4 linked regions of the Caenorhabditis elegans genome follow. The protein of the gene in region 3 interacts with the protein of the main gene of each other region in a pairwise test. Each region holds a gene or a part of one and is shown on either strand. Other genes may lie near its edges.

Region 1 (8,860 bases), on a different chromosome or scaffold from region 3:
ACAACAAACGCGGAAATTTTCCTCCAATCAGTTGAGAAGTCGCGTCTAAATTTCCGTGATTCTTGTAGATCAAGCCAACATGGTGCACTCTGACATCACGTGAAATTTGAAATTTTCAAATTCAAATTGTTAATTTCCAGGCTCGCGAAGTCTCCAATCGCCGTTCATTCCGTGCACCGAGCACCTCATCCTCCAAATCACAAAGACGAGCTGTTGCTCGCTTCGCCGACGATGGAGCTCTTCCCGCCACTGCCGCCTATCACACAACATCAGCACCAAAACTTCGTAAAGGTCCTCAAAGCTGTCCGGGAGGTTATCGTGACGAGTCAGATGTGTCGTACGAGTCTGACAAGTATTCACAGAAGAGCAATTCACATCGGAGGCGTGACGTGCTTCATCAGTCGATGCGACAAAACTACACGATAGACGAAGGACGGAAACCGAGTAGCAGACGTCATCATAGCAGCAAAAGTGATTTCCGTCGACGTGGTGAATCTTCAGAATACGGAAGTGGTGATCCATCACCGGTTGGACAATACAGCAGTCGTCATTCACATTACGAGGACAGAATTGAAGAATCAGAAAATGATGATTTCAGTGAAAAGGCTCAGTTTGCAGTCATCGAGCGTGCTCAACAACATTACATGCAAAAGTACAAAGAGTCTGAACAAAAGCGACGGGAAGAAAAGAGAAAGTTGAAGGATATGGAGAAAGAGTGCAATGATGCCAAAAACGCCATGTTCCACTATATGAATCAGTTGGATAAAGTGAAGAAGGAGCGGGATTGCTATAGAAAAGAGCTCAGTCGGTGCAAGAAGCAGCTCGAGGCTTTCCAGAATTCCGGATATGATGTAAGTTCATATTATTATTTCAGAGAACCCTCAAATAAATATAATTTTTCAGGCATTCCACCATCTCCGTCAACCACAAATATCAAATCCTCAGCAATATCCACCTCCATTGAGCATGGGCTCCTACCCTTATATGAGCCAATCCATGAATGCTTCTCACCACATGTCATCTAACTTCATGAATAGTGCTCCACCATCAAGCAACACACCGATGACAATGACAAGTGGAGCCGGAGAGTCATTGATAAATCCGTCTGATGTCAGCTTCCTTCAAAATTCATTCCTTCAACCAACTTCTCAAGGTCTTACGGGAATGACTCCACCACCTGGAGGATTCAAGGGTGCGTCCGAAACTTTTTATTCAAACGATACTTCTTCTTCTAACATTAATTTCAATCAATAATCTAATATCTAATCATGTTCATTGCCATATAAATTCGCTTTAAATTTTCAATTATATTTGTTGCTTCACGGTGTGTGGCAAATTTTGAAATTTTGCCGAACTCGGCAAATTTGGCAATTTTGCCATGCTCGTCATACTCGGTAAATCGCAATATTTTTTGAAGCTCAAAAACTGGTTTCGCTCAATTTTTGCCCAATGCGCGTGTGGATTTCTTGAATAAAAAAAAATGAAAGAAACACAATGTTATTTTTTTTCATTAAGTTTCTGATCGAAACCATTAGTTTTCAGCAAACGGCAAATTCGGCAAATTTGCCGCACCTCTGGTGTCCCATTTCCGTATGATCTACAGTAAATACAGAACTTTTTGCCCAGAAAAAATTGGTCTCAGTACGATTTGAACAATTCAAAATCTGTTGAGAAGTCTGCGTATAAATTCTCGCAGTTCTTGTAGATAAAACCAACATGAAGCTTTAAAAGACTATATCATGATTTCAAATAATTTCAGTGCCCACAAACTACGGAGATGATGATCGAGATGAAGTGAAAGACTATCGTTCCGAACTTTTAATCGAAACTTCAAGAAGTACTAAAGAAGTCGACAGCATTTCTCCGTCAAGCTCTGCTGACAGCCAAGTGACTCTACTTGATCATTCCACAATAGATAAGGAGAATCGGAAGCCACCGTCTCGTCCATTCTCTATGATGTCGATTTAATTGCTTTATTTTCCATTTTCCAGATTGTCAGCTATTTTTTCTACTTTCTCTTTTTGTATTCAATTTTCTCAAGAGTTATGTCGGTTTTTTTTCATTTCTACCTTATAACCATCTCTTCTTTAATAAACCCGAAACAGGATCTTGTCTTTCCGCACAAATCCAAATATTATCAGTTGTGTTTGTATGTGTGTGCGGCTCTCATCACCACCACCGGTCGAAACATTTGGAGATGCTCTGGCTCCGCGCGTTCCACTCTCTGCGGCTCTTGATTCGTCTGATCTATTGCGTCGGCGCCATCAGCACTTCACGCATCTTCACCTCTCGTATTGGGAAAGAGTCCGAGAGCCATTCTCTATCCCTTCCTCTACTACTCGATTTTTCCTATTCCTGCATCACTTTATGGCACATCGATCGGCACCGTTTATCAGTAACAGTTAATTTTAATATTTTTTTGGTTCCGATTTGATAAAACTAATATTTATAATTAATAATAACATATTTTCAAAAAAAAAAAGTAGGAACGTCCATTTTCCGGGGTATTGCAAAAAATGATGCTGTAGTTTTCAAGTTTTAGCAACCGATGGGAAAAGTACTTTTCTGCTAGGAACTGTAAAATAAAGTGAAATGTTTTTTTTTAATTTGAGAAGATTTTCATCGATGTTTCACAATTTGTCACCCGATTCTTCAAAAAATTTTGTCGAAAAAAAATTTGAACATATTTATATGTATTTTTTTTAATACATAAAATTTTGAAGAAACAGGAGAAAAATCTTTGAAAATTTTGCAAAAGCGAGGAGTTGATTACTACAGTACTCTTTAAAGGCGCACGCTGTTTTTTTTTAAAGAAAAATTTTAAGAAAATATGTCGCTTCGAGTCCTGTACAGACCGTAATTTTGGAGCAATAATTGCAAAATTTGTAATCTGATTAATAGGATAGGCTCCAAATGACATGCCAATTTTATTTTAAATTCGACGGTTTTATTTCTTTCAAAAATTGATTCCGCGGCTACTGGGGAAAAATAACAGTATTTTCGTAATTCGGAAAATGTGGAGAAGCTAATTCGAAACCTAAAAATGAGAATTGAAACTTTATTTTCCGATAAACGCTTTATTCAAACAATTTTCCAATGGACATTAGATGTAAAAATCATGGTAATATCTTCCCAATTAATATTTCAGAATTTCCCCCAGCTCAATCATCTGCTCCAAATCCTTCTCGAATGTTCTGCGTCTCGTACGCCTCAACTCAACAGTCGGCAAATACACCGACGATCCATGAACAACAGGTTGAGATATACATTCCTCCATCTCTTTTCATTTTCAATTCATTTTGTTCAGGAGGAAATCTACTCTTCTCTGAAAAAAGTGCGAACTACTGATGATCTAACTTCAAGTCAATTGTCTATTGATAAACATGTCACTATGATTCCGTTGGGGTAGGTTCAAGATTATTATAAATTGTGGTATTTTTTATTAAAAAGTAATGTAGTAGCATCGGTTGAAATCTGAAAGTATTAACATTGAAAATCGACAGAAAAATATTTTATAGTATTCACGATTAGCTTGAAATTGAAAAAATTATTGAAATTTTTTCAAAACCATACCTAATAGGCACGATAGTAGGCATTTTTGAGCCTACCTGTATTCTTACAAACTAATAGAATTGCTGATTATCTAAAATAGCATTAAAAATGTATTAAATTTAAATTTTCAGAAGCCCACACGAACTTCACCGAGAAATAACTGCAAGCGGGACATTGATCAGAGTTTCCTCGGGGTTACCACAGAAAATGGATATGGGTGCCAATGAAAAAATGAAGGAGTTAGTGCCAAAGGTTGGTGAAATTTCAGTTCTCGATTTTGCAAAAAAAAAAATTTAGAAAATGTTAAGTCTGTGAAGCTGAAGCTTTGAAGATGTTATTTTCGTAAAAATTAATTTTGATTTCAATTTCAGATGCGACCAGAAGCTACTCTCCAATCCTTCCAACCTGTACGCCAAGAAGCACCGCAGAAAAAAGTTGAAATTCAAGAACCAAAGAAAGGTAATAACTTAGAATATTGATTTTTCTCCTTCCCAATATGCTCCACACTTGAACAATTTAGTATGTACAAGTACATAAAACGCAATAAAAAACCAAGAAAAGGGAGAAGCTTGTTTGGGAGGGCTCCGCCATTATATTGGCTATTATACGCGATCACACCCTATTTTTCTTGTATTTTTTTGGAAATTTCCAGATTTTCAAATTCTCAGTTCCAAACTTTTTACTTCTGTTTCAAATCATTTTTGCTTTTAGGCATTGTTCTCCAATTTTCAATAAAACTACCATATTTCCTCTAATAATATTGCTGTCATCTTTGACAGCTTTTATTTTAATTAAGTTTGAATTTAAATATAAGTTTTGAATTATAAAACTATAGAAGATAAATAAAGAAGAAATAAATAAAAAAAAGAAATACTTTTCCAGTTGGTAAGTTTTTGATAAAATAAATGGGAACTGAGATATGTGCTATCAAAGATTTGAGCAGTATTTTTCAAAAACCCCAAATTTTGGTTTACAAAAGGAAAAATAAAGTAAACTCAACCCCTTGTTTTATTAGAGATTAAAAGTTGAAAGTTTAACAAACAGAGCATTTTTTCTATCTCCATCTATTCAATACTCCCACTGTTTTATTCTTTTCCTGCCTCCTCCTCCACCTACCGACCGGTAATCAGGTTCGCGCGACCAACAGAAAAAAGAAGAAGCATCATGTTGACTCAATGAGCAGAAAATACAAACACGCACTAAGAAACTTGCTCTATCGCTGCCGTCCTTTTCCCCCTATTTTTCCCGGTTTTGCCGGATTTTTTTTTAATGTTCTGTCTGAATAAATGAAGTTGGAACTTCACACATTTAGTCATTTGGATGAGATTTGAGCAGACGAGAGAGGGAAGAACCTAATAAGAGCAAACAGAGATTTTGACATATTTGGATTTCTGTGAAAATATGATAGGAAGCTACGATTTCGTATCATTTCAATCCTTGAGATGTTACAAAAATTAGAACTTCTATGATCGGCAGAAAGCCTAAAAAGCTTTGGTTTTTTATTTTTATTTTTTATTCCAAAAAATTAAATTGATCTTAAGTACTTCAAACATCTTTTGTATTTTGCAAAATTCTCAAGTTCGGTCTCTTTACGGTTTTTGAAAAATTCCGAAACCTGATTTTTTTGGTTTTCTACTAGTCTTCGAATACTAGATTTTCAAATGCTTTCAAATTTACATTAAATCATAAATCATATCCTTTGAAATTTATTCGTGCCTACCTGAAGCCTGCCTTTCATCTGAAACTAATTTTTTTCAGAATTCGAGAGTTGGTCGGGTCGAGCGATGGAGGGACGAGTATCTGGTGGTCAAGTTCGTGGCACAAACAACATGCGTGGGTACTGGGAACGAAACATTCAAATTGAGCAACGACAAAGAGCAGAAGATGAGAGACGCCAGAGACCGAAGAGTTATGGTTTTCCGAAATGGAGATCTACAGATGCGTTGTCTGCGTCATTGGTTGCTTCGAATAGCATTCAGGTAAGGGGTTTTGGTGAGATGGTTAATAAAAGGGAAATATCTCTTGTGGAATAAGTGCCAGAATGTTTTCAAAATGTGATAGAAAGTTGCCAAACTTTGAGAGAACATTTTCAAAAGTTGGCAGAAAGTCACCAAAGTTTGACAGACGTGGAGTTTATTAGAACAGATACATTTTTTAGTTTTTGAAACTTGCCCGCTAGCAACTTCCCAATTTTTTTGAAAAAAAAATCTATGAACATATTTCCAGATTCCGGTAGACAGTCGAATCCCTGTAGAACGTTTGCGCAAAATGGAGGAAACCGAGCGAGAAGCCATCGAAGTGAAGAAAGAGATTCACGAAGAAGCTGAAATGACAGCGGGAGTTAGTAATACAAGAAAACTATCCAAAGGAAAAAGCCTAGACTCTCTAAGTATGCAAGTTGATTATCAACCATGGTATGACACGGAAAAGATCAAGTCGGCAGTATCTCGAGAATCCATTGCCAATATCGCAACGTCACGTGAATTCTTCGAAACAGCTTCTACGAGAGATTGGAGATCAGGTGCGAATAGTCGCCGAGATTCGATGTGCTCTCTGAGCATTGCTCCACCACTCCCACCAAAATCTGATGCGATGCAATTGAGACAGGCTACGGTGAATCATGCATCAAGGCCACCTACCAACTATCATCAAAACGGTGGATACGGTCAGCAGTACGAACCGAATTTGTCATCAGTTCCGATTTCAAGTGGTGCACAGAATATTAATATGCTCACTATTTCCAGTGGATATGATGATGGAAGACAAATGGTTCAGAAGCAGCAACAACCACAGACATCAATTAATAGGCTTGTTCAGCAAGGTGAGCGGTTTTTTGAAATTAAAGGGAACATTTTCTGATTGTTAGAAATCACATGTTTCTCCAAAAAAAAGTGAAATTTTTATTCCTCCAAAAAATATCCGAAATAAATAATTAAGTATATATGACTTTAAAAATTGCACATTGAAAGAATCAAGATGTGAATTCGCGGTTACGGTAGTTGAAAAGTTGAATTTGTGTCAGGGGTGGGCGGCAAACGATTTCTTCCGGCAATTCGGCAAATTACCGAAATCGCAAATTTCCGGAAAATTGTGGTTTTGCACCTTTTTTCTGAAAATTTTAGAATTTCAATATCAATCGGCAAAATTGTACGCATCCTATGAATGTTCCTACATTTATTTCGAAAAGTAAGCAAATTCTATGAAAATATCTAGAGAAAACGGGAAAAAATTTCAAAAAGGCACAGTTTTAAAAGTTTTTCCGTCTTATAAAAAATCCCTCTTAAAATTTCCGGCAAATCAGCAAACCGGCAATTTTCCGAATTGCCGAATTTATCGACAAAAATTTGCCGACCACCACTGATTCGTGTTAAGACCTAATTTGTTCCGAAAAATTCATACTTGAGTTGCAGGTGTTTCTGCAATTTTTTTTGCTGCAAGTTTCCATTCCAATTTTTATAAATAAACTCCGCCCATATCTTGGCTTCTTACAATCTTTACAAGAAAATCCTGGAAAAGCTCAAGCTAGCTTTTAAGTTCATTTTCATAAAGTTTCATATCAAATCAAATCTAATAAATTTCAATTTTCTAGAATTTTAACTCAATATTTATTATTCGGTAATTGGCTGAGTATCAACTCTATGCACTCCTCTGTGATACGGAGTGTTACAAATTGAACAAGATATCACGTTTTCTTTCAAAAAACTTTTATTTTCAGACTCTCCTCAAACGGCTGACCCAATTGAGCAACAAGAGGTTCTCCTAATGCTTTATCTGAAACAGAATTTGGATATTGTTCGAGGTCTCGGAATCCACATCCCACATGATCTTCTCGCAGAAATGGACGATCTTCAGATATTGCCAGTCGAGTTGAGAATTTGTGATGAGGAACCACAAAGAGTAAGATTTTTGAAAACTACTTTCCTTAGTTTTCTGTTTTCCAGGGTCAAATGTTTAGCCCAGTCAACAAAAATGGAAGATATCAGCGAAAACCTCAACCGAATATGGCTCCAAATCGGCAGGTGATGGGACAAATGATGGGACAGAAGTATGGAAGTCGAAAGGATATTCCAATTTCAACACGAAGCCGCCAGAATAGTGAAATGAGTAATTCAAATGTGGATCTATCCTATCATCATCATCAGCCACATTCACATATGACTACAAATTCCTCCTACGGATATCATTAATTCAACTTCAACTTTCTACATATTTATAGAAATTTTTAATATTTTTGGGAATAAAATAAAACTTTTTTGCGTTGAAGCAATAGACTATGACAAGACTAGACAATAAGTGAAAATTAAAAAGGAAGAAATTAGCAGAATCCGTTGAGTCCCGTGATGGCTCTTCCAAGGATCAGAGCATGTACATCGTGTGTTCCTTCATAAGTGTTAACTGTCTCCAAATTCACCATATGTCTCATAATATGGTACTCATCCACAATTCCATTTCCACCTAGCATATCTCTCGCCTTTCGTGACACCTCGAGAGCTTCTCCACACGAGTTTCTTTTGATAATCGAGATCTGCTCTGATTGAACTTTTCCCTCATCTTTCAGGCGGGACACACGAAGGCATCCTTGAAGACCCAAAGAGATTTCAGTTAACATTACTTTAGTTAACATTAGTTAGATTTGGAAATTTTCATATGCTGAAATGGAAATGCAAAATCGTTGATACAAACAAACTCACTATCAAGATTGTCGTGCACATTATTGGGAGGATCTATTTCATCTGCATACAGTCTCTTCAAAGGTTCCAAGTTTTTAAGCACGAGTTTTTTGACAGTTTGATTAGAAAATAATTTAAAATCATCCTTTTCCACGAATTCCATATCAATTATTATCGCTGATATGTTCAAAATATTTGTAACTTTTTTATATAAATCTGGATTCATCTTGTATATATTGTCAAGTACATACGATGATACTGAGTTACTCAATGATTTGTCGAATTCAAAGCACACATTATTTAGTTTGCCTGAAAATAAAATCCATTCGAATGAGAAAGATGTCTTGAAAACTAATTTTGCATAAGTTTTTTTACATAAAACTCTTGAAAAATATTTTATTAACATAATATAATACAAAAAGTTAATAGAAAGAGCTTGGAAGTTCTCTGATTTAGCGCGAAAAAAAGTTCCCATAATTACTTGCCACCGTGTAAGTGCATTTAGACAAAATTCCCACTGGCGCTACTCCACCTTTAGACTTTTCAATTACATAAGGCTAAGGCTGTCGTTTTCGAAAACCAAAGAAAAATGTATTTCCTCATAGTTTCAAAACCTTTGTTATTTTCAAAATGAAATT
Region 2 (5,626 bases), on a different chromosome or scaffold from region 3:
GTGACCACCGGAAGAAGGGTCACATGGCAAAACGACGTGGAGTTAAATGTATTTTTAGATGGCTTGAAAGAATTTCAAAAACTTCTATATGTAAATAGTTGAATTTTAAATATTTTCAAAATTAACTTTGCTGCAAGTCATGGTGCATCGACCAGAAAAACCTCGCTTAGCATTAATTTCGCTTGCCTGTGGTCTGATCAAAATTTTGTCAACTAACCAAATATCAAGCATTTTTCTAGTTAGAAGTTTTTCAATATCTTCGAAAATAGCAGAGATATAGGCTCCTGTGGTTGATTTGCAAAGCATGGTGCATCGATATCTCAGTTGTCTAGGGGGTTATCATAATTTTGTCAACTACTAAAATATTTTTCAAATCTTTTTCTGTAACATTGCAGTTAAACTTTTCTTGTTGTATTTTAAAGTAGCAAAGATATAAGCCCTCAAAGCTGTTCAGTTTTGTGTGGTCACAATGTATTACAATATCACAATGATCACTTCCATAAAGCCCTGCTGAAGCCCAGGGCACAAAATTTAGAAGGGTCAGGTCGCAATCTAGCCATTTGTCATCATGGCTACGCGCACACTCACACTGTGTCTCTTTGTGTCTCGGCGGTGTGCATGTGCCTTTAAATACCCCCTTTTGAATCATTCACGCGTTCTTTGGTTCTTTGGTTCTCAAGAAGAGCGGAGAGCAATCGCGTAATTTGTGCAGCCTTTTTGATAAGACTTCTTCATGAGTTACTAGATTTAAAACTCGAATTTTTACTATTTTCTTAATAAAAAACTCCGAATTTCCCCCATTCTCACCCATTTCTCTAGTCGGACACAAAATTTTGTGGTCTCCCGTGCTCTATAGTTTTTGGTCATTGGTCACATCGTATGTTTCGAAATCATCGCCGCTGTTTTTGTTTTGAAAATTGATTTTCAACGAATTCTCTTTGGTTCTCCCAGCATAGAAAACGGTCATTTTTCTTTTTTTTTAATTGCCGAAGAAAAAAATATAATGGAATCAGTGGAGGCGCAGACTGTTAGAAAGCATTTGCACTGTTTATTGAACGGTTTGGCGCCCGTTACTCAGTGGAAGTGAGTGGTATCAAAAAATGCGTTCGGTTGCATTTATAGTTTTATGAGATGAATATTTTGTAATTTAACAATTTTGTGATAAATTTACTTTTCGACGAGGTATAGAGGTTTTAGCACAAGCTGAATCCCGCAGCCTTTTAAAATCAAATTCTCATAACGTATTTTTACTTTTAACTCCTTTTAACTCCTTCGAAGTAAAAGTTATTCAACAGTTGTTAACTTGAGCATGTAGTGTTTTTTTAAGGCGGCTATAACTCAGCGGAGGTTAATGCTATGAAAAAGATGAAAATTACAAAAATGTTCAGTTTTATGTGGTAAATAATCTTTTAATGAACAATTTTGCGACAAATCAACTATTCGACAAGATACGGAGGGTGCTAGCTTCAGCCATTGGCACCCTACTTCTCACCACTAAACCTTTATGCTCCTGTAACTCAGCGGAGGGTAGTTTTATGAAAAAGTTCACAATTACAAAAATGTTCAGTTTTATGTGGTAAATAATTTGTTAGTTAACAATTTTAGGATAAATTTATTCTCCGAGGAGATACAAGGGCAGAAATTTCAGTAGCTCTCTTCATCGGCTCCCTTGCCGCTTCACCACCAAACTTTAGGCGCCTGTAACTAAACGGAGGTTACTGTTATGAAAAAGTTGCAAATTACAAAAATGTACAGTTTTATGTGATAAATAAATTGCTAGTTTAACAGTTTTTTGATAAATCCACTTTCCAACAAATTACAACGATTTCTAGTCTTCGACACTACTGCTCACCCTTCACCACTGAACCTCCAGGCGTCTGTAACTCCGCGGAGGTGAACTCCATTAAAAAGTTGCCAACTACGAAAATACGCAACTTTTAAAGTTCTATATTTTATTAGTTGGCATATTTTTGATAACTCCTCTACTCGTAGAGATATCACAGCTTAAACTTATACTCCTTATACTCCAGCCGATCAAAACACCATTTTTTCCAAAAAATTCCATCATGGCGTCAAGTATCATTTCAACACCATTTATTTACTTTGTGTCAATTCTCAATTCTCAACTTTCAATTTCTCCTCAAAAATCAAACATTGCGAGCACATCTGAGCACGAGGGGAACAAACCACCACCTCCCACACAATTTCTATTGTTGTAGCCTACCGGAACGGTGGGCGGCGCCCAGACGTTCGGAAGGCGGAGCCCCGTTTATTTATAAATCGGGAAAAATTTTTGAAATTTTGAAATTTTGGAAATTTGAAAATAATGGTGCCATTTGTGTTGATTTTTTGGCGAATTCTCGAATGACTTTTCGTGTGTGATGAGGCGGCTGAAAAAAAAACTAACTGATAAGCTTTTCTATCATATTTTAACCTTTTCTCTCTCTCTTTTTTGATTCCATTAAATATCCATTTCCAATTTCTAATAATTTATAATTCCAGCCGTCCATCATGGCCGCTTTGGCAATTTCTCACTGCGTGAGCCACGTGGCGCGCCCAGTTTCTCCGGTAACACAAGGAAAACCGAGCGGAAGCAGACAGCAGCCGGTGAGCCAAATTTCGATTTTAAGCCTTGTTTTGGAGCAAATTTTTAGGCGATCCGGTTTGCGTTGATCCTTCGAAAGAGCACACGATGGCAATGGGAGAAGGAGCAGACGGGCTTGAGCGATGCTGATCTGAAAAAGTGAGTTTTACAACCAAAGCTGCTCGTCGATGCATCACGTTTTGCATCTCCACTTTGAAAGCTCATATCTTTGTTCATTTTTAAGATACTATAGGCACATAGCTAAAAATAATTTTATTAGTTGACAGTTTTCTTTTAAAACCAAATACAACGAGATAAAAACTGTGGAAGCTGGTTCTAGTCATTGCACCATGTCTCACGCCATTTCTAAAGCTTGTAACTTTGTTCATCTTTTAGATACTAAAAAATTGAAACTGCAATAATGTATGTCCATGTCTTCCTCCACATTCAGAGTCCATATCTTTGTTCATTTTATAGGTAGTAAAAAGTAAAAAATTTTTAACTACAAAACTGTAGAAAATCAAATATTTAAATATTTTGTCAGAAAGCAACTTTTCGATAAACCCAAAGCCAAATGAGATATAAGCTATCAAAGCTGGTTCCGGTCGATGCACCATGTCTCAAGCCACTTCTAAAGCTTGTAGCTTTGTTCATCTTTTAGGTACTCAAACAATTGTTATTACAAAATAGTAGAAAAACATATATTTCATATTTCGCCTGTGAGCAACTTTTTGATAACGCTAAAACAGACAGAGATATGAGCTACCAAAGAAGATAATTTTCGGTCGATGCACCATGTCTTAAAGTTCATATTCAATAGGTTGTTTCCTGAATTTAATTTTAATAACATTAACACTATATAAAATATGTATAAGGTGTCCGGTCGATGCACCATGTTTTGCTTCACCTATATCCTATCATACAGAAATTTGGAAAATTATATTTAGGCTAAAAACCGAAACTGTGTATTTTTCCCATGGTGTCTGCAATTGACAAAAGTCTACTGACCTCATTTGAATGTAAAAATGTCTATCAGGCTATATTCCCAGCTACTAAATCTTTTCAGGCACCTCTCCTCAAAAGGCACCAAGGTTCAAGAGCTCCTCGAAAACGAGAAGAAACAAGTAAACGCAGTGCAGGAAATTGTCTCCGAACTTGGCAAAGCAGGCATCTCCACAAAAGTTGTGACTCGCGAGCAGCTAGCCCAGTACCTGCCTGAAGCTGATCTGGTGATCTCTGCCGGTGGTGATGGAACCTTCTTGGCTGCAGCTTCCGTGGTCAACGACAACACCCCAATCATCGGTATCAACACTGACCCGATCGGAAGTGAAGGACACCTGTGTGTCGGTGGCAAGAATCCACCTCGCGATTTGATCGAGCGTCTGGTCTCTGGAAACTTGAAGTGGGTGCAGAGGACGAGGATACGGGTAACAGTAAAGGAATCCCGGAACTCGATTTTCTCATTGAAGAGGTCTGAAAAATCAACAAACCTCGCCCTGAACGAGGTGTTCATCGGAGAGGATGAAGCCGCCAAAGTCTCAACCTACAATATTTCCATCGACGATTCGCAGACAGTCAAGCAAAAGTCCTCCGGGTTGATTGTGTCGACTGGGACCGGATCGACGAGTTGGTACCTCGGAATGAACAGGATCGATGAGAATGCGACGACGTCAGTGTTGGAGGCACTGCAATCACTTGGCGTGGATGTGCCGATCACAAGGAATTTGGTGGAGAAGGTGGTGAATTCGGTGAATGAGAAGATCCCGTTCGAGCCAGATCATCCTAGTGAGTTTTTTGAAAGTTGATTGGAATTTGGGTTTGTTGAGTTGGAAACAAAATGTCAGGGGTATTTTTGATTACACAATTCCAAATATAAGACCCTGCACAGACATGGAAAAGGACTGAGAAAAGGACCCCATGGCTGGCCTCATCGTCAGGCTTCAGAAAACTCAAATTTGAGAATTTCTCATTATCTCACTTTCACTTTTAACTTTCCAGGTTTCGCCTTCTCAATCCGTGAGCCGATCTTCAACGCCACCTACAAACGCACGGCGACCCGCGGATTCGCCAGAAAGATCAAACTCGAATCCCGATGCACCAACGGATACCTGGTCCTTGACGGATCCACAAAGATCCCGTTCCCACGTGGCGCCGTCGCCACGATCGAGGTCAATCCGAATGATGCTTTGAAAACTGTGATTGTGTAACAATGATTTTGTGTGTATTGTTTTTATTGTACGGGTTTTCGGGTTGTCGTTTTTTTTGTGAATTATGAATTCGTAATTGTACATAGATTTTATACGATTTTATGTGATACATCAATTTGAAATTTGAAATTAAAAAAAAATAAATTCATTACTTTTTCATAACTGTATAAAATGGTCTCAAAAATGTGCTTCAAATGCACATTTTCTCAAAATTTCAGAGATCCATCGTTGCGAGATCCTTTGTCGTGGTGAGACCCCCCGTGGTGAGATCCCCGCAGTGCGATCTATCGTGGCGAGACCTATCGTAGCGGGACCCATCGAGGCCAGACCCTCCGTGGTGAGACCCATTGCAGTGAGACCCTTCGTGGTAAGACCCATTGTGGCGAGACTCCCTGTGCTGAGACCTCGTTCAGTGCTGATAATCTGATATGAAAAATCTGAAACCATACAAGCTGAAGTCATTTCGCAACCCCAGAAACTAAAAAAACCACAAAAACCATTTGAAATGCGACATTCTTTATTAAAAAGCTCTCTAATGAGTCTTGTAGATCTGCTCTGCCTGCGATGGCGCTGCCTCGACAGCCACCGATCTCGTTGGGCATGGACAGTAGGCAGCGTCTCCACCTGGCGCGGCATCCTCTCCCGGTGCTCCATCGGATCCATCGACTCCAGGAACTCCGTGTTGTCCTGGTGCTCCTCCGGCGCCTGGAATTCCATCGGCTCCCTGCTTTCCGTTCTTTCCATTGGCTCCCGGTGGTCCAGGTGGTCCACGACGTCCACTGTTTCCTGGATGTCCTGCTGATCCTGGAAGGTAGGTTTGTCCCTTGGCTCCCGG
Region 3 (5,217 bases):
GTTTTTGGGTTTAATAATATTTAGTTAATTGTGTTTAAAAATTTCAATGTTGTGTAGTTTAACATTTCCTCACTCAACAGTGTTCAATATTTAAAAAAAATTTTGCAAGGAAAATTGGAAATATGCCAAAACTTCATCTGAAACAAAAGTTAAATGTTTAGTTTCTCTGTAAAAACGTAAAAATGACAAATATTGAAATAGTGAATTGAGACTTGAGAAGACTTTTAGATTTCAAAAAGATTTCAAGACTATTACACAAAAAAAAATCAGACAGAAACAAAAAACAAAAAAAAATTATTAAAAGATTGACACTGACATGTTTAAAAAGTCACAAAACATTTTCGAGTACGTAGTTACTCGAAAAAGAAAACTAAGATCTATATGACGTCATTTTGATCTGACACAGGTGACACATCTCATCCATCCCGTAGCTCTTCTCCCACAGAAACATTTTGTGGTGTGAAGTTACTAGATGCACACTTTACTACTTGAATGGAGGAGGTTAAATGATGAAAGAACAGAAGGATGCTCATTATGATTGTGATGTTTCAAATATTATAATTATTGTTTCACTTTTGCAAGTTCTATAAATTGATTGAAAAATTGACAAAACTCTGGATTCAGAAATTGCATTTTTCAAAATGTGTAAAATTTCAAAAATCGTGTTATAAATTTTAAAAAAGTCCAATGTTTCTGATAAAAAAATGTTTTAATTAGATGAAACACTGAAATTGTTCAGTTTTTGTCAGTGAACAAGAGAAATCACAGAAAAATTGTTCCGAAAGGGACTACTTTACTCCCTATTTGTCTTGAAATCTCTCAAAAATCAGTATCTTAGAAATTATAGTTAACCCACAAAAATACACTTTAAACCGTTCAAAATCTATTCATTATTTTTTCAAATAAGTTCAATATGTTATAGAACATCTTTGATATGAAGCATATAACAAACGTCATCATAAAACATCATATCACGTTCATAAAATCCTTTTCTTTGAGGAATTGTCTTGTTACAGATTGCACAACGGAAACAATCAATATGAAAGAGACGATTAAATGCAACAAGTCCTCGTTCAATTACTGGCAATGAGCATCCTGTAAAATTTGTTTTTTAAGTAATCGTAAGGGGCTCTAATCTTTCCTATATGTAGCTGAGTAATCAAAGTTCGTATAACCCGTGCAAAACCGAATTCACAAGCCATATCATTCAATTTTTAATTTCTACTAATCAGTACTTCGAAGAACTAAAAATACCTGTGCAAGATGGATGATTTGTTTGAATATGACATGCATAACATGATGGTTTCATTGGATCAATTGATGAACGGAAATAACGATTGTCCGAGATTTGAAGCTAAAATTGGATATTTTGAAATTTTGGAAGTGCTTTTTTCCGAACGCTTCCAAAACTAACTTTACAAAAAATGCATTGAATATGATCCCGATGCCACATTCGATTCAGAAAGAAGACAACTTTGTTCTAAAAATTACTTTTTTAAAGGAAATACACCAATTGTGGATTTACCTTTTCGACATCCTCCTCGGCGATTTTGGCTTTACATCCTGCACAATTGATAAACTCAATAGTCATTTTTCTAGTTTATTTGGAAATAAATTATTTTTTATTAAAATTGTATTCTTCGCCTCCGAATTTGTATTTAGTAAGCGGTTGCCACGTAACTGGTATTAAAATTTATTGGTTTTTAATTGAAAACTTCCAAACAAGATACAAAAGTTTATGCATCTCTGCATGGTAATCTCCAAAATACATAAAATATCACAGATTCCTTATTTCTAGGGCAAAATAAGCCATTATACTGAAGCCAAATAATACTGTCCGCCTTTCATGCCTTTCCCTCCCGAGACTCCATCTTTTTTTCCAATCAGATCCAATTTTCGGTGAACAAACAATAATTTGACATGCCTCTGTTGATTAACCGTGTTTTGTGAGCAATTCATTGGCTTTTCGTCGCACAAAAACAATGGGCATTAGGAGCATTTTTTGGAAAGTTGTATCTGGAAGAGGTGAGCACAGTTTGTCCCATTTTTTTTCTAATTTTAGCTGATTAAAAATAAAACCTCCAAAAATGAATTTCAGTGCCCGATAATGGTGGATGGGTTGACAGTATGCAAGTGGATCATTTTGATCCTTATACTCCAGGACAACTAACAAAAAACTTCACAGCAACTGTATAGTTTTCAGTTTTTCCAAATTACCCCAATTTCTAACCTCTCACTTTTAAGGTTGCTGACGAAATTAGTGTAACCCGTGGCACTACAGTTAAAGCAATTTATCGAGATGATCAATGGATTTATGTTGAGGTATCTGATGGAAGAAAAGGATTTGTTCCACAGACATATTGTAAATTGCTTTTGAATTCAAAACACGGTGAAAAGGTGAGCGTTTTAGATGTTCTAGAAAAGTTATTTTTAGTGCAAATCTTAAAGAATGCAACAACACGTGTAATTGTGGCATTTAATGATATTCATTTAAAACTACTGTATCCGGTCTCGACACGACCGAAATATGCGCAAAAGAATGTGCGCCTTGCGAATTACTGTAACCACACTCCTAATTATTTCCAATATTTCATAGATATTTCATAGTTTTGTCATTGAAAAATCGAAGAAAAGTGGTGAAAATCATTGTCACCTTTAGTGAGAACAACTTAGAAGCCACGTGATGTCAGAGAGTCCCATTTCGGTTTGATCTCCAAGAATTTCGGGAATGGAACCGTTGAGAAATCAAATCAAATACTTTTCAGAAAAAGGTGATCGGATCCAGCGCGACACTTGATCGCCGTTGGGAAAAATCAAATTTGCAGAGATTTATCGACAGTCTTCCTGTTCAAAAAGAAGAAGGAGAGGTTTTTAAAATGGTTTGTTTTGAATAAAGCTATTGAATATTCTTTTGATACTATCTGCAGGATGAGATATGCGAAGTTCAAATACTACAGTCATTTGATGGATCAGCTCCAGATGATATATCTGTGAAAGATGGAGAATCTGTCACAGTTTTGAATATATCAGATCCTGAGTGGACCTATATTCGAAATTCGGACAATCAATCTGGTTTTGTACCTTCTTCCCATGTTAAGATTCCACATGAAATATTGCAACAAGCTAGCCGTGTCATTAAAGAAAAATGGTATCGTAAGTTCGCAGTTTTCTGAAACGCTTAAAGGTGTACGGACTTATTCAGATGGGTCATGGGTGTTATTCTGTTTTTTTTTTCAGAATTAAAAGACTCAGAAGACGCGAAAATTTGTTATTTTTGCGCCAAAAATACAGTACCCGGTCTCGACACGATAACAATTTTGTTAAGTGTGAAAACGTGTGCGCCTTTAAAGACTACTGTAATGTAAATACAACTTTTCGTGCTCATAGTTTTTCTCACGATTAGTAAAATAAAATATATGTGTTTTGTGGTTTTTTAAAATAAATAAATACATTTTTTAACGGAGAATTATGAAAAATCTATGCAAATTCCTCAACAACGAAAGTTTGAAGCTACAGTACCCTTTAAAGGCGCACATCCGTTTACATTTGATAAAAAATATTGTCGTGTCGAGATTGAGTACCATATTTTTGGCGCAAAAATTGCAAAGTTTCGCGTATGGGTAATAAAAAATCAAAAGAATCGACTTTAAAATTGTTCACGAAATTCCCGAAAAAAGCAAAAGGGCCGTTGCAAGATAAAAAACTACTGCCATAAATGTTTTTCTCGTGCTTGCGTTTCAAAAGATTGCGAAATAAACTGATTATATTTTGGCTTGGCAAATTTATTTAATTTTTAGGGAAAATGAAAATCTTCTCGTAGTCGAACCTTTTTCTGGAAGATCACCTCTTGATCTAACAGTCCGACCAGGTGAATGGATAAAATGCACTGGAAGACCAGTAGATGATTGGTTGTGGGCCGTCCGAATCGCTGACGAGAAGCAGGGATTTATCCCGAATAAAGTTGTAATTTTGGCGACAGATCTTTGATGTTTGATTTATCGTTTGAATTTGTTTCATACCCGACCCATTAATAAAAATATTTTAAAAAAAGGTGAATTGGAAATGATAATAAATTTAGTGACTGAAGTGGGTAGTAAGAAATACAATCAAGAAACGAATAAATTATTGAAAATAAATAGGATTTAAGGTATTCGTGGGAATCATGAGAGGATAAAAACAGAAGGAGCACACATAACTGGTTATCAGAAAATACATTAAAAGAAAAAGAGATTCTTGTTTTCTGGATTGAACGGGGAGGCGAGATAGGGTAGGATAATTATGATAAAGTTATAAAAATTGCATAAAATTTTAACAAGAGATCCACTGATTTCATTGAGTTGGTCGGTCCATTACAAGACTACACGTACTCTTCAACAATTCATCGCGAAGTTTCCACAAAGCTTTTGTAACATCCTCTTCGCGAGCTACAGGTCGTCCGTTTTCAATTCTCTGAAATTATGAAATATATTTTACAAGAAGAAATAGTCGAACTAACCCTTATCCAATGAGATGGAGCGCGGGCATTTCCAGCTGGTTGGGTATTCCTGGCAGTTGCTCCTAGAGTTCGTTCCCATCGGCTTACCGACTTCTGTCGATTCTGGGCAAGTGATTCGATATACCTGTAAATGAAAAATCAATACTTGAAAAACAATTAAATTTCAAAAAACTCACTTGAGATATGCTTCCGAATGTAGAACTCTTCTCGAATGAATTTGATTCGGTGGTGCAACAAATGCAGGTACAACTGCTCGAACTACAGTTCGTCCAACATCTGTAACCACGATAGGTTGCATTTGTGGTTGTTGCTGTTGTGGAGGTGGACCAGGTTGTTGATGTTGTTGTTGAATCATTTGTTGAGGTGGTGCCTGATGATATTGTTGAGATGAAGAAGATCCTTGTTGGAACATTCCGTTTTGTGGTGGTCCCATTTGCATCTGTGGATGAGGTTGGCCACCTTGCTGAAAAAATTACATTTATTAAAAATGTTTTCATTGCGTTACAAACCTGATAATGCTGCTGATGTGGATGATGATCGTGATGTTGCTGCATATGCTGTGGATGCTGATGATGCATTTGTTGGCTAACAGGATGCCTGTTTATAACTTGTGGAGCGCCTTGTTGCATATTTCCGTTCATTCCATTTCCATGATGCTGCTGTTGTTGATGTTGTTGTTGAGGGGGAATTCCACCATTTGATGGTGCAGTTGGTAATTGTCC
Region 4 (4,625 bases), on a different chromosome or scaffold from region 3:
ACAATTATACATTGGATGACTACATTCTCTTGCAACATTGTCCATTTCCACACGGAGAATAGTTTTGCTGGCAAGAGCAGGAGTTGACTGATTGAGTGAGGCATGGCATCTGGACTAGTTGAGCAGTAGAGCACGATTGATAGCATGATTGGGTGCATGCTGGAGCACATTGCTGCATTGGTTGTTGTTGTTGAATGCATTGTTGTTGGCATGATTGTTGGCATTGTGGAACACATTGAGCAGATTGAGACACTGAAGGTTCTAGGATGACAGTCACAATTTGTGGAGCAACAACTGGAGATTGGCATGCTGATTGGCATTGCTGACATTGTGGAGCAGCTGGTTGCTGACATTGTGGAATACATTGTTGTTGGCACTGTTGAGTCTGTTGGCACGAAGTTTGACATTGTTGGCAAGCTGGTGCAGATGGAAGTGTGCATTGTGGAGCACACTGTTGCTGGCAAACTGGAGCATACTGCTGGCAAGTATTCTGGCACTGCTGGCACTGTGGAGCTGATGGCTGTTGGCATTGAGGAGCACACTGTTGTACGCATTGTGGAGCTGCTTGCTGACAGGTTGTCTGGCATGGTTGAGTACATTCCTGATAGCACTGTTGAACTGGAACTTGTTGTAGAAGACATTGTTGTTGACACTGTTGTTGGCATTGTGGAGCACATTGAGCAGAGATTCCCAAGTTGACATTGATGACTTGTGGAGCAACAGTTGGAGCACATTGTTGAACACATTGCTGCTGACATTGTGGTTGACATTGTTGAATTGGTTGAGCTTGAACACATTGTTGAGTGCACTTTTGTTGGCATTGTGGAACACACTGGACTGTGACTGGAGCTGGAGCAACACAGGATTGTTCACAGGCTGGCATGCAAGATGGTTGACATTGGACTGGAGCTGGAGCAGCTATTTGAGTATAACAGGAAGACGTCTGACAAGTCTGCTGGCATGAAGATTGACACTCATTCATAGATGGAGCAAATTGACATTGGTTCTGGCAAGACTGCTGACAAGCTGGAGCACATTGAGAAGTTTGCACTTGGTAAGTTACTTGCTGAACTGGTTGGGCACATGAGCAGGATGTCTGGACTGGAGCAGTGTTCTGACACGAACAACTGTACTGTTGTGGTTGAGTTGCTTGTTGGCATGAACAACTTGGTTGAACTTGTGAAGCACAACCACATGATTGACGTTTATCACGAATTGATGTTGCCTGGAAAAAACTTCTGTGAACTTGGAAAACAAGCATTTTGTTGCTAACATCGATTACGTCCAACAAATATTTGTAAGATGTGGGCACTTAGAAAACTAGACCGTATTATCAAGAACATTTTGAAAAAACTGTACATGATGAATTTTTCATCAAGTGATGGAAAATTGTTGTAGTTAATATAATATTTTTAATTATTAATAAACCGAAATACTAACTGAAAAAGTTTAGAAATGTCGTGCCATTCTAAAAGTGAAAGTACAATGAAACTTTATCAAACCTCGATAAGCAGACAGCTGGAAGCAAAGAGAGCTACAAATACGATGAAACGCATGATAATGGTTGAAGAAGCAGGGCTTGATGATTTCCACAGATATCAAGGCTTTATATACCCCCTCAAACACTGCTTGCGTACGATTATAGCAATGTAAAAAAATAGTGCCGGAAAAAATAGTCCAAGAGTTCAAGTCTTGTAATTTCGAATGGCTATTGTGAGAGCAAACAAAAAGGTGTTTCTAATAATGAGTGGCGTCAAAAGGCAATAAACAATTTAAAATCGTTTTGTCGAAATCCGAACTCTAAAGTTCAACAGGTAACCCTTTCATTACTTTTCTGAAAATGTAAACGAAATTTTTTGGTACACATAGTTAAGCGGAAACTCGGCGCAATCCAAAAAAAAAACACTGTATCAGTGCAAACGCGCACCCAACCTCTTTTTGATCTTTGCAACTTGCCGTGCCCTCAAGAAATAGTGTGTGTAAGACTGGGAGGCGACGAGCGTGTTTTTTGGTTCATTTGCCATGTTATCATTGTTATGTTTGCGCTGAGCATGAAGCCGGTTGATGGATGGAGTTTGATAAGTGGGACGGAACTGTTTGATGGCTAATGAAACAGGGTTGTAGGACGTTGGTATAAAAGTCGGAAAAATTAAAACAAGGGCATCAATTGTCTCTTAGCAGCTCTTCAATCATATTGACAATGCGTTTTATTACAATTGCAGCAGTTCTTCTTGTTTCTAGCCTTCTTATTGTTGAGGTACGATTTGTATTACTGTTGCTTCACTTACTTTCTGAATTATCTGTAGAATTAGTTAACAATTTATATGTACACCTTGAAACATTATATTATTTCTAGGCATCTTCAATTCGTGATAAACGTCAATCATGTGGTTGTGCTTCACAAGTTCAACCAAGTTGTTCATGCCAACAAGCAACTCAACCACAACAGTACAGTTGTTCGTGTCAGAACACTGCTCCAGTCCAGACATCCTGCTCATGTGCCCAACCAGTTCAGCAAGTAACTTACCAAGTGCAAACTTCTCAATGTGCTCCAGCTTGTCAGCAGTCTTGCCAGAACCAATGTCAATTTGCTCCATCTATGAATGAGTGTCAATCTTCATGCCAGCAGACTTGTCAGACGTCTTCCTGTTATACTCAAATAGCTGCTCCAGCTCCAGTCCAATGTCAACCATCTTGCATGCCAGCCTGTGAACAATCCTGTGTTGCTCCAGCTCCAGTCACAGTCCAGTGTGTTCCACAATGCCAACAAAAGTGCACTCAACAATGTGTTCAAGCTCAACCAATTCAACAATGTCAACCACAATGTCAGCAGCAATGTGTTCAACAATGTGCTCCAACTGTTGCTCCACAAGTCATCAATGTCAACTTGGGAATCTCTGCTCAATGTGCTCCACAATGCCAACAACAGTGTCAACAACAATGTCTTCTACAACAAGTTCCAGTTCAACAGTGCTATCAGGAATGTACTCAACCATGCCAGACAACCTGTCAGCAAGCAGCTCCACAATGCGTACAACAGTGTGCTCCTCAATGCCAACAGCCATCAGCTCCACAGTGCCAGCAGTGCCAGAATACTTGCCAGCAGTATGCTCCAGTTTGCCAGCAACAGTGTGCTCCACAATGCACACTTCCATCTGCACCAGCTTGCCAACAATGTCAAACTTCGTGCCAACAGACTCAACAGTGCCAACAACAATGTATTCCACAATGTCAGCAACCAGCTGCTCCACAATGTCAGCAATGCCAATCAGCATGCCAATCTCCAGTTGTTGCTCCACAAATTGTGACTGTCATCCTAGAACCTTCAGTTTCTCAATCTGCTCAATGTGTTCCACAATGCCAACAATCATGCCAACAACAATGCATTCAACAACAACAACCAATGCAGCAATGTGCTCCAGCATGCACCCAATCATGCTATCAATCGTGCTCTACTGCTCAACTAGTCCAGATGCCATGCCTCACTCAATCAGTCAACTCCTGCTCTTGCCAGCAAAACTATTCTCCGTGTGGAAATGGACAATGTTGCAAGAGAATGTAGTCATCCAATGTATAATTGTGACACCAGTTATGTGTATATACAAGACAATACTTCTTTATACTTTTTTAATAAATAATATTGATAACTTTAAGTTTTTACTCAAATTTAGAAAAAAAAAAAAAACTTTGACCACTGAGCGGATCGAACGCCCAACCTTTCGATCTGGAGTCGAACGCGCTACCATTGCGCCAAGCAGTCACATTTTCCTTTGTCATCTAGTGCAATGACACGAAAGGGGTAGAGAGAAAGGAGAGAATAAGGAGGGGACATATGGCGGTAGAAAAACCGGTGACGGACTACTCTCTTCATCGTTTATCACATATTCTGAGTGTTTGTTTTTTCAAATTTAATGGAGGAAATAGATAGAATAGTGAGGAAATGAGAATGTTATTGATTTTCATGGCGGCATTGGTGTGAAACTTGTTGCTCCTACTGACGCGATTGTGCCAACTCTTGACTGTTTAATCTCTTTGAAACTTCTGAACAGAATCATTCGAATTCCTGGAAGTTTGTGAGGTTTTTCTTGCACGGGTTGTTGCAAGCACCCGACATCTACCGGGTTCTCGATGTGAACATATGCTGAATCCGCTAGAAGTCAAGCGCTACGGAACACTATGGAAAAATGAAGACCGCCAGATGTCGGCTGCAACTGAAAGTTTTGGGAATTTGCTTACTTTTTGCAGTCATTCGATACTCCGAAACGACATACATCACAATAAGTGAATCCGTGGCTGGATACAAAGTAAAGCTGCACAGCATTACTCCAGACGGCAAGCTCACATCTAAGTTGAATAAAGGAAGGAAAATTATGACAGTTATTGGAATGAATAATATGATCGTCGGCATTGTGATCTACATTGTAACAATTTTAGTAATCGGACTTAAGCGGCCGACACCTTGCGGGTTTTCTGTGGAAACCCATGAGGTGTCGGGCGCAAAGCAAAATTTATATACCTGAAGGATCAATGTCTTGAAAAACTGTTTATTTTGTATCTGAGACCTGGTCTCTCGCCAAAAAGAAATAGGTTCCCAGTGCATACTGGAAGCCGAAAAATGAGCAATA

Evidence for each region.
Region 1: the proteins of C26C6.8 (region 3) and F54D5.15 interact in a two-hybrid assay, tested with the Caenorhabditis elegans proteins (one large-scale study listed by BioGRID).
Region 2: the proteins of C26C6.8 (region 3) and nadk-1 interact in a two-hybrid assay, tested with the Caenorhabditis elegans proteins (one large-scale study listed by BioGRID).
Region 4: the proteins of C26C6.8 (region 3) and pqn-90 interact in a two-hybrid assay, tested with the Caenorhabditis elegans proteins (one large-scale study listed by BioGRID).

Annotation. Positions count from the first base shown.
Region 1 is NC_003280.10:11,557,661-11,566,520, reverse strand, and holds F54D5.15 (ZM domain-containing protein), read left to right. Parts: upstream 1-2,293; 5' UTR 2,294-2,367; coding exon 2,368-2,401; intron 2,402-3,148; coding exon 3,149-3,255; intron 3,256-3,307; coding exon 3,308-3,405; intron 3,406-3,683; coding exon 3,684-3,804; intron 3,805-3,923; coding exon 3,924-4,011; intron 4,012-5,310; coding exon 5,311-5,531; intron 5,532-5,778; coding exon 5,779-6,373; intron 6,374-7,267; coding exon 7,268-7,449; intron 7,450-7,493; coding exon 7,494-7,739; 3' UTR 7,740-7,806; downstream 7,807-8,860. Other genes in the region: F54D5.5 (uncharacterized protein), read left to right, coding at 141-851, 904-1,192, 1,760-1,968; F54D5.24 (FTH domain-containing protein), read right to left, coding at 8,176-8,531.
Region 2 is NC_003282.8:1,454,573-1,460,198, forward strand, and holds nadk-1 (NAD(+) kinase), read left to right. Parts: upstream 1-2,502; 5' UTR 2,503-2,511; coding exon 2,512-2,607; intron 2,608-2,654; coding exon 2,655-2,743; intron 2,744-3,650; coding exon 3,651-4,369; intron 4,370-4,582; coding exon 4,583-4,791; 3' UTR 4,792-4,949; downstream 4,950-5,626. Other genes in the region: col-106 (Nematode cuticle collagen N-terminal domain-containing protein), read right to left, coding at 5,324-5,626.
Region 3 is NC_003279.8:7,502,346-7,507,562, reverse strand, and holds C26C6.8 (SH3 domain-containing protein), read left to right. Parts: upstream 1-1,920; 5' UTR 1,921-1,982; coding exon 1,983-2,025; intron 2,026-2,098; coding exon 2,099-2,190; intron 2,191-2,244; coding exon 2,245-2,397; intron 2,398-2,765; coding exon 2,766-2,879; intron 2,880-2,927; coding exon 2,928-3,148; intron 3,149-3,797; coding exon 3,798-3,987; 3' UTR 3,988-4,040; downstream 4,041-5,217. Other genes in the region: C26C6.6 (LIM zinc-binding domain-containing protein), read right to left, coding at 917-1,095, 1,255-1,354, 1,415-1,480, 1,526-1,591; pbrm-1 (Bromo domain-containing protein), read right to left, coding at 4,330-4,449, 4,496-4,619, 4,672-4,958, 5,005-5,217.
Region 4 is NC_003282.8:15,288,838-15,293,462, reverse strand, and holds pqn-90 (Prion-like-(Q/N-rich)-domain-bearing protein), read left to right. Parts: upstream 1-2,200; coding exon 2,201-2,257; intron 2,258-2,274; exon of another isoform or gene 2,275-2,296; intron 2,297-2,326; exon of another isoform or gene 2,327-2,356; coding exon 2,357-3,562; downstream 3,563-4,625. Other genes in the region: pqn-91 (Prion-like-(Q/N-rich)-domain-bearing protein), read right to left, coding at 20-1,225, 1,503-1,556.